Linked DNA regions of Drosophila melanogaster. The protein of the gene in region 1 purifies or fractionates together with the protein of each later gene. This does not show direct contact. Each region holds a gene or a part of one and is shown on either strand. Other genes may lie near its edges.

Evidence for each region.
Region 2: the proteins of Cisd2 (region 1) and Rab32 purify together in Drosophila melanogaster (affinity purification with western blotting; one study listed by BioGRID). This does not show direct contact.

Annotation. Positions count from the first base shown.
Region 1 is NT_033777.3:29,221,617-29,225,239, forward strand, and holds Cisd2 (CDGSH iron sulfur domain 2), read right to left. Parts: upstream 1,813-3,623; 5' UTR 1,724-1,812; coding exon 1,627-1,723; intron 1,154-1,626; coding exon 930-1,153; intron 866-929; coding exon 785-865; 3' UTR 601-784; downstream 1-600. Other genes in the region: eEF1gamma (eukaryotic translation elongation factor 1 gamma), read left to right, coding at 1-160; Brd8 (bromodomain containing 8), read left to right, coding at 1,954-3,623.
Region 2 is NT_033778.4:9,177,278-9,183,430, forward strand, and holds Rab32 (Rab32), read right to left. Parts: upstream 4,022-6,153; 5' UTR 3,882-4,021; coding exon 2,472-3,881; intron 2,070-2,471; exon of another isoform or gene 1,949-2,069; coding exon 1,553-1,948; intron 1,473-1,552; coding exon 1,329-1,472; intron 1,268-1,328; coding exon 1,157-1,267; 3' UTR 587-1,156; downstream 1-586.

The DNA.
Region 1 (3,623 bases):
CACGCTCTCCCCCGACTGGCAGATCGACTACGAGGTCTACGACTGGAAGAAGCTCGACGCCAAGAGCGAGGAGACCAAGAAGCTGGTCACCCAGTACTTCTCCTGGTCCGGCACCGACAAGGACGGTCGCAAGTTCAACCAGGGCAAGATCTTCAAGTAATCATCTCTGCCTAGCCCAGCTCCGCTCAAAGCAGCAGCCGCCCTCATTTAGACCAACAACAACAACAGCAGCAGTAACAATAAAGTTTGAGATTTAAAATGCAGGAAGAGCACAATGCCCATTTCTTAAGTTCCAACTGATAAGTACACTAAAGATATCCAATATCTGTCGTGCTGCCTCCCACGTTTGGCGGAATCGTGTGTCTCGCCTCCTGCATTTTGTACTGGAGAATTTGTTTGTAACCGCCTAAGCATAACACAGCATGATATTGTCAACGGAACAGCCGCCTGCAGTCAGAAAATATTTATAAAAAATAAAAGGTTTTCTATTAATAACAGCACGGTTTTCTCTCACACGTGTGTGTATGTGTGTGTGTGGTTTATTTGGTTGTTGGTAAAGGTTAGGTCTGGCATTTATTAGTAATTAGAATTAAGCATATCGATTTGAATTTATGTTTGGGCAATTTTATTGGCTCCTTTTAACTTAATCCATCAATATCATCAATTATTGCTTACAATTACAAGGGTTCAAACAGCTTCGGCCACTACTATTGGTTTTAAAAGCAAACTGGAGCTCAGCGAGAGGAAATGCTAGAACGTTTGTGTATCGATGCACCGCCGCAATCTACTTCTTGATGACAATTGGTCCGACGTTGTCTCCAGTCTGCTTGTTGTGCTCGCCATGACTGCCATCGCAGTAGGGCCACTGCGAATAGAGGATTCAATTGAAAATTTTGTTCACAATATTTCAGAGGTTAGAATGCACTCACGTTCTTGGTCTTCCAGCAGCGACAGAAGGCCGCCTTCTCCGCAATATCCTCCACGTCGATCATGTCCACCACCTTGGGCTCGTTCTTGCGGATGTGGTTGTTGCAGCGTCCGCTGTTTTTGGCCGCGCAGCTGGCCCGTGCCGCCGGACAGTAGGCCAGGTAGGCGGTGTAGCCGAGTCCGGCCACCACCACGGTGGGTGGGATCAGGGCCAACCAATCCTTGACTGCAAACGAAACCAGGTTAATACGGAATGCAGTGCATTTTAAGCTTTATAACTAGATATTTTGGTCGATCAGCCGTAACCGGCACAAGGTCGTTCCCTACACACATATTGGGTTATAAACGCACCAAGATATGCGCATATATGTTTATAGGTATACCCATGTTGGTATGCCTGTATTATGCGTCTATCTAGTTGCCTATCTGCGAGACAAACTTGCTCCAATTATAAATTTCTTGGCGAGCTCAGCAGTTGTTGCATAATCGCTGCAACTTTTTTGCCTGGAAGTGCACACACTGCACTTCCAATTCCCGTTAGCAGCTCCGCAATATCACGCCACATTTGCACCTTAGTAGTCCATTTAGTTGGCCCCCCTAGATGCTGCGTCATTATCGTGGATTTGGGTTTATGTGGGGCGCCCTTTGAAGGCAAATCAAATTCCAATGGGCAAAACCACGCTCATTGCCCAAACTTACAGGAGAGCTTAAACCAGCCGCCGATGCTGTCGGGAACCGGCAGACTTGACAAGTAATTGGGCAGCGAGGACTTCACCAGATGTGATATGGGCTCCATTTCGAAACGCCTTTTTTATTTAACTGGCTATTAAATTCGGAAAACTTGTTTTTGTGTTGCTATCGGTTAGCGGTGCTAGCAAATCGATAAGCCAGTCCTATCGGTATCGCAGTGCTAGGGTCACACTGCATTTTCGACGATAGGCAGTATTACAGATTCGTGTGTAGTCATCGATAGCATTCTGTTTTGTTTACGAATTATTGATTGAAATCAATAAATTGCAGTTTAGAATGTCTGCCGGGGTACAAGAGCGCCTGCAACTGAGCCGCATGCCGCTGGACACGTGGTCGAAGCGGGAGCAGCTCATCCTGGCGTCGGCGGTCTCCTGCAGCGGCGACCAGAACTGGATCACGGTGAGCCGCACGCTGAAGACGATCTGCGGCAATGGCAGCAGTAACCGACCGGCGGACTGGTTCTCGCAGAAGAACTGTGCCATGCAGTACGGCAATCTGCTGGAGAGCGTGGAGGCCACCAAGCGCAAGAAGCGCAGCAGCGAAAGCAGTGCCGGCGTCTCCTCGCCGGCCACCGTGGAGACGCCCACAGAATTGCTGCTCCGTCGGCTCACGGAGGAGCGTCAGGCGGAGATCAAGGCGCAGATGCGTCAGGATCAGGAGACTTACCGACGCATCCAGCGGGAGATTGAGTCGCTGCAATCGGACGCGGTGACCGAGCAGGAGCTGCAGGACATGTGGCTGGAGATCGAGAAGGAGCAGGAGGCGCGCCGCATCGAGGAGATGAAGCTGGAGAATCGCATGCGGGAGCGCGAGCAGCGCAAGAAGGACCTGGCCAGCAACTGGCGAAACAGCAGTCTAGCCGTCAAGCGTTCCAACCAAGCTGCCGACACGACTTCCGTCGATATGGACGTGGAGGACATAAACACCAGTGGCAATGGCAAACAGCAGACGGGTCCTTCGCCTCTACTCACATCTCTCCTGAAATCGCCCACAGGCAATGCACCTGCAACGCCCACCCCAGGAGGAGCTGCACCAGCAGCCGGAGGAACTGGCAGCGTGGCCAGGGCTACGGCGCCAACCATCACCTCGCTGCTGACCAGCGGTCCAAGCTCAGCTGTTGCCAATCAGCCAGTCATCACCATGAAGAGCCCCACAGATGCGGCGTTTATGTCCCGACCTATTACCGGACCTCCGGCCAGTGAGGCTTCTACTACGCCCACACTCGAACGGAGTCCCTCGCAGGCGGCACCCACACTCTCCATGCTGCTAGAGAAGAACATGGCTGCGGCGAAGGCCAACGAAAGCGGAAGCTTGGTAAAGCCAGAGGGGTCAGGAAACCAGGAGCAGGGTGTAGACGAAGCCACTTCTTCTGCAGCTGGCACAGCAGACTCCGACGAGGCGGATCCCAACGAAGCGCAGCTGCTGGAAGTCTTCAAAAACATTGATCAAATAATAGATGACATCGACATTGATATGGCCAGTGTCATTGACGATGAGATTCTGAAAAATGTGGATGACGTCGTAGCCTCGCCATCAAACGATAAAGCCGAAGTTATTGACTTTGAGGACAAGCTGGACGCTTTGAAGCGGGAGCAAAGTAAAAGTTCCCCAGCCAGTGATAAACCAAAATCTGTGGAGCTAGTAATTGGATCCAGCGATGACTCCAACGACAATATACCCCTGGCTGCCGTGGCCTCCCAGGAGAGTAAGGATCGTGGTCAGTCCGGTGGTGAATCTACTAGGGGCACCGAGGACGCAGAGTCCGAGCCGTTGACCAGCGAGGTGGCGGTGGAGGAGATTGGTGAGACCATTACCATTATCAGCACTTCAAGTGAGGATACTGCAGGATCGCCACCCACGAAAATGGAGGAAGATGGGGCCACTGATTCCCTTCCGAAGAAGGAGGATGCCGCGGAAGACAAATCCGAACAGGAAAGTAGCTCCCA
Region 2 (6,153 bases), on another chromosome or scaffold:
GATGGCAATAGTCTTGCAGCGATTCGATAGTTTGTAAGGTTCTATCGATAGTGGTCCCGTTCAGCAGCAATTGGTAAACGCATATTCACGGTATTCTCGGAGTATTTAAGTTTCAAGCTTAATTCACTTTTGAGTCAGGATGTTTGTTTGTGCCATAAAACATTTTATAAAACCAAATTGCAATTAAACCTGATTCCAGCTTTTTCCCAATTTTTCCCATACCAATTACCAGTTTATACGTTTCGCTTTTCATAACGATTAAATAATTGCTAATAATTTTATGTAGAATATGAACGCACGACACTTTTATCTGTATATCATTATTTTTAAGTTTAATATGTGATCACTAAACAATAAGGAATACCATAGTTGATAACTATCGATAGTTTGAATATTAAAAAAAAAGAAAAACATTGCCGGTTGGGGATACGATTTTTTACCGTTAAAAAAGGAAATGTAAAAACAAAGCTTTTATTCGTATTTATTTACAAAGACCAGTGATTCAATGAAGGCAAATACTAGTAGCATAACATTTTCATTGTATCACAAAAGCACTTACACAGAATTTATTCAGCCAATAAAACACGTCGTCTGAACTTAACTACCATTAAAAACTTTATTTCTGATTTCGCATTGCATTAAGCGTACGTATTGTTATCTAAATACAAATAATGATGGCAGAGTGTGTTTGCATACGAGAATAATAATTCCAAGATAAAACAATCTCGCCAGCAGAGGCAAATAAAACAAACAAAACAATAAGACGATTCGCATTTTACACAAATGTAGTATGCTATGATACGGATGCTGCACTACCTCCGGCTAATCCTCGCAACTAGGGCAATGATGGTGATAGTAATAATGTTTCGTATGCGTAGGTATGTTATGTGTCACCATATAAATTCTCAAAGTGACACGGATCCCGATGCCGGCGCAACATTGTGGACCCACAGACGGGGTGTTAAAGATAAAGACGGACGGGATGATACGGATGACACTAAGTCTTAGACAAATGTTACGTTAAAACCCTAAGCATAGTTATCGCTATCTTCTAACAACATGAACATGGAGTGGACGTAGGCACATGGCGTTTCTGTGTTGAAACTCGCTCTTAAACTGGGAATGGGAATAGGAGTCGCCGGACCTCGGTCCCAGGTCAGCAGGAACACTTGTTCTTGGCATCCGATCCGGTTGCATCGGCCGCGCTCAAGTTGAACTTGTCGCCATCGGCCAGATCGGCAGATATCAGCTTATCGTTGATGAGTATCTGTCGGGCGAGTGGAAGAAGATTAGCGGGGCTTTGGCTGGGCATTAGCAGCGATTATCACCTTATTCACGAGGGCACGAGCTGCCTCATCGATGTTGATATTCTCCTTGGCGGATGTCTCAAACCAACCGGCAAATCCGTTCTCCCTCACATACTCATCCATCTTCTCGGGCTGCGTTATGATGCCCTGCTTTTCCTGGTCGCACTGGAAAACGGATGAGCAACGTATTAATCACATAATATAGAAATTATGCGGTCTCCTTTAACCTTTAGGCAATCACTTACTTTATTGGCCAGCAGGATGCACGGAATGGGACTGCCGTCCGGCAGCTGCACCTTGGAGTCTAGATCTTCCTTCCACTTGCTCACGCAATCGAAAGTCCCACTGCGAGTCACATCAAAAACGATGAACGCGCCCACCGCCTCCTTGTAGTAGACACGGGTCATGTTGCCAAACCTCTCCTGACCGGCGATATCCCACAGCTGGAGGCGCACTATCGTATTGGCGTCCCACTGCAGCACTTTCAGGGCGAAGTCCACGCCGATGGTGGCCCTGTAGTTCTGGCTGAAGAACTGGTGCACATAGCGCTTAATGAAGGACGTCTTGCCGGTGCCCAGTTCACCAATGACTAGAATCTTGTACAGATGCTCGCGCTTATCGCTGGTGGATGTCATGATGGCCTGCAAGCAAGGATTGGATGAGAGTTACTTGTATGTTCGATCCATGCTTAATAGAATAGTTTGATAAATTTGATACACTAAACAATGAAATCCCACTTGTGACTTGAAATCTCAAGATAAAGAGATACATACTTTTGGGCTCTGGGTTTCAAGATACAAATATAAATAATCCGTGCATTTCGAATTATAATAAGTAGTAAAGTTTGTTCTATCATAGCACGTTTACACTCAGTTATATAAAAGCATATCAATATATAATATAGGAAGTGAGAATTCACCACTTTAATAAATTCTAAGCCTGGTATTAGTTACACCTTCTGCTGCTCGTCAATCCGCACTGAGATTTGCTGGTTAGTTGACGAGACCCCCTGGGCTATTACCACCGCCCGCCGCCCGCACAGTTGAATGACACTCTGGAACACACACTATAAGGGGGCCAACATATCACTTGTGGGGCTTCTTCGCTTCTTCGTAGGTAAATGACAACTGGCGAATTGGCAATCCGACGACGACGAGACCTTACCGGTTCCATTTCCTGATCCATGGTCAGGTCACCGAAGGCCGGCATGGGCTTGGCGTTCTCTGGCTCTGTGGTATCCGCCTGCTCCTCGCTATCGTCCTCGGATCCGGAGTCCTGGTTGGAGTATTCACTAGCCACCGACTGATAGTGCAGTGTTTCCCGCCTGCCCTCGATGCTGTCGTGGTCGCCGAGGATGAGCTGCTGCTGAGCGAAGCTGAGACGCCGGATGCTGGAGTCGCTGAGCTCTTCGTTGGAGTTGGGCTGTTGACTGGCGGCGGCGGCCAATGCGGCTTCGTAGGCACTCAAGGGACTCCTGACTGCACTGCCCACTTCAAAGCGGACAACGGGCGGGGGATTAGCAATAGTCTGGGCGCTTTCCGCCGAGGAGACTCCGTCCTCAGCCGCCGGAGGGGATGTGGATGGGTCCAGGGATTGCTGCCCTGATGGCTGGGGTTCCGTGTTCGCTAGTTCAGCCAGTGGTCTGGCGTTGAGGCGGTGGCCGCGCTGCTGCTGCTGCTGCATCAATTCCAGCTTCCTGCTGGATGCGCTCGAGGATTGGGACTTGCGAACAGCTCCGGTGCCGCTGGCTGACTGAACGCGACTTGGTTTTGCTGGCGCCCGTTCTCTGGGCGGCGTATCGCGCGTGCTCTCGGTGGTGGTGATAAGCGGCGACGGCGACGCCGATGGGGACTCTCTCTCGGGGCTCTGGGGCTTCTTCTTCGACACCAGCAGCTTGGTGGTGCGGGTGCTGCTGCTCGTATCTCTCGTGGTCACGGTGGTGGTAGTGGTTTTCTTTCTCGGTTTCCTTTCTTCTGCGGCGGGTGTCAGATAATCCGTGTCGCTCTTGGGTCTGCTCTTGCCGCTCTTCTTGGCGGGCGATGGCTCCACCTTCTTGCCACTGATGGTGATCTGCAGCGTGCTGCTGCCGGCGGAGGTGGGCGAACCGGGTGGCGATGGCAGGGGTGTTGTTTCCAGGTGCTCCACGCTGATGTCGTCGCTGGTCGCCAAGCTGTGGGGCCGCCCCTTCGGCGTTTTCCCACTTTTTCTCAGGCCTCCAAGAAGCAGGCGGCGCGTCAGGCTCTTTTTCTTGGTCTTGCCGAGGGCTCCACTGTCCGTGGAGATGGAGCTGGCCACGTCTTCGAGCTCGCCTGGGGTTTCCTGAGCCTCTTCCTCCGCGCTGCGTGTTTCCCTGTCGGTGCTTTTATCCAGCTCCCTTTCCCTTTTGGTTTTGGTCTTCGAGAGGCTTCGCAGAGCCGCAGTGAATCGGGAACGGCCCTTGATCTTCGCGGTGGCCTCCTCAGACTCGTCTTTCGGATCCCCGTCCCCCTCCTGGCGGTCACCCTTTTCCTCCGATTGCTCCGATTCCGCTCTCTTTGTAGCTGCTTTTCCCCGCTGCTCGTCCACGTTGGGCATATTTTCAACTGACGCTGTTGATCCCTAGCGATTCTACACAGATTCCATTTGCTCCAGCTTGATTTCCAGTCCTGATCCTGCACGATCCTCGAGCTTTTTTTTTTTAAGCAACCGTTGCCCAGACTAAACGAACGCGCACTAAAATCCCCAGTGCCGACGACTAGGCTTTTATAAATTTTGTATTCGCCCCGTTGGTCCCGCCCCCGCACCATCCCCTTTTGTGGTGAGAGGTTTAGCATTACAGTTACGAAAATCGCTATAGCTGGCCAGGTGCTTACCAACACTGGTTGCCGCCTCCAAATCGCTTGCGAAATGAGCGTGAGAAGAGCCGGTGGGCCTTTGAATGGGCCGATTGGACGGCTGGCACCCGCTTATCAAGCAATCCCCGGACAAAGATTGGCCAGTGTCCGGTGGCCCGCCATAATCGACGCCAGTTGTCCGGCTGGTTAGCCCTGCTCCGGAATCACTGGGCTCTATAATTTGGATCGAGGTAATGCATAATGCCATGATGCCGTGATGCTACGATGACGAGCACCCAATCATCCGGCACAACCAGTGGAGCAGGGCGCCCAGTGTCCATATCTGGACCTGACCTCTCCAAGCAACCCAGAACGTGCTCCGCCGCACTTGGCGGGCTTCCTTTAAGCTGAGGATTTGCCGCATCAACTTGTCCCAAAAGAGTCGCTCGGCATTAAGTGGGCGACACATCAATCTGGCGGATTGGCCGCTGTCTTGGCCGACTGTCGACTTACTGCTCGACGTGACTATATAGAATTACGCTTATTACAAAACGTGGTTAGCCGCAGTGCATCGAGCAGAGCGACAGGGAAGGAGATATGTGGCCCATATACGATTACCCAAGTAATAACCCGAAACGCAAACGGGATGGCACACATATGTATGTATGTATGTATGGATAGATCGTATCTTACAGATGTACGGAAGTTGCTTCAGATCTGACTTAATTAGATATTACAGTTCCTTATACAGGCACTTTGCTGCGGTTGCGATATCATTGAGCAGTGGGGTAGTTATCAATACTTTTAAAAATGTATAGTATTATTACCAAACACCCTTTTGAACTTATAGTTTGACTATAAATTAAATTAAAGAATAATTTATTGGTAAAAACAATATTTGCCTATATTTGATTAGCTTTATGCTTATCACTAGGGTTAGTAACCATTTCAGATTCCTTTAAAACAACCCATTTGCAATATTGCTAGATTACTACTTATCCATCCTGTTTTCTGAAAGCCGTTTTCTTTTGGAGCACTACATCATTGAAAGTGATTGTTCTTTGATGACTTATATTTTCCTATAAACTAATAGCTATTGGTTATTTAGACCAGGCATTAATCAATGCGATTGCACAGTAAAGTAAAGCGTTCTAAATGTAATTCACCATAAAGAGCGCTGTCTGTAGCCTAACCGATTTGCACATTCTGAAATCGGGGACAAGTCAACAGTCGAATCAGCTTACATAATTCATGGGAGATTACAGCAAACACATTTTCTCAAGCCTTAAAAATTCCAGTTACGGAGCAGAGGGCTTTTAAACCATAATGTGCCTTGGAAACCGAAAGCATTAGAAATTCACTTTCGCATAAATGTCGAACGTGGAAGAGTTCCTTTGTGCCCGCAGATGTTTACACGCAATCCAGCCGGAAAACAGAAAACAGAAGAGCTATGCGAAGCATTCGGCCTCCATCTGAAAGTCAGGCGCCTGCAAGTGCCCCCTGACGACCCCATTCCGAACAAAAGCCACACGGATGCCCCGATGTGGCGAAGTCCTGCACGGACTTCTTTTCCGTAAATCGGATACCGAATGGCAGTGGCTAGGAGCCCCCCACCCGCATCGGCCAGCAATCACGTGCAAGTGAGCTCAACAAGAGGAAGTGAGCACGTGAATGAGTTCCTGGAATGGAAACTACTGGGATTGCATGTATCACGGCAGGCGTAAAATCAAGCGAATCTAAAGACACCTGTCTTTTTAGATAGCTTGGGAAAGTACTATTATGGCTAAGCCCATTTTCAGTCGTTTAATCCGAAGGTTTCTAACTGAACCCCAAAAGTATGCAATAAAATCTGATATGTAAGTGTAAAAAGTAGAATAACAAGTTGACGGCGGTGTTAGTTATTGCAAATATTTGTCAATTTGATAAGGAATACTATGCTATTAAAACCAAAATTATTTTGATTACTAAAAGTCCATGATTTAAGTAATTGTTGAAGTACGACATTTACGTATAAATAATATGAATTTTATTTA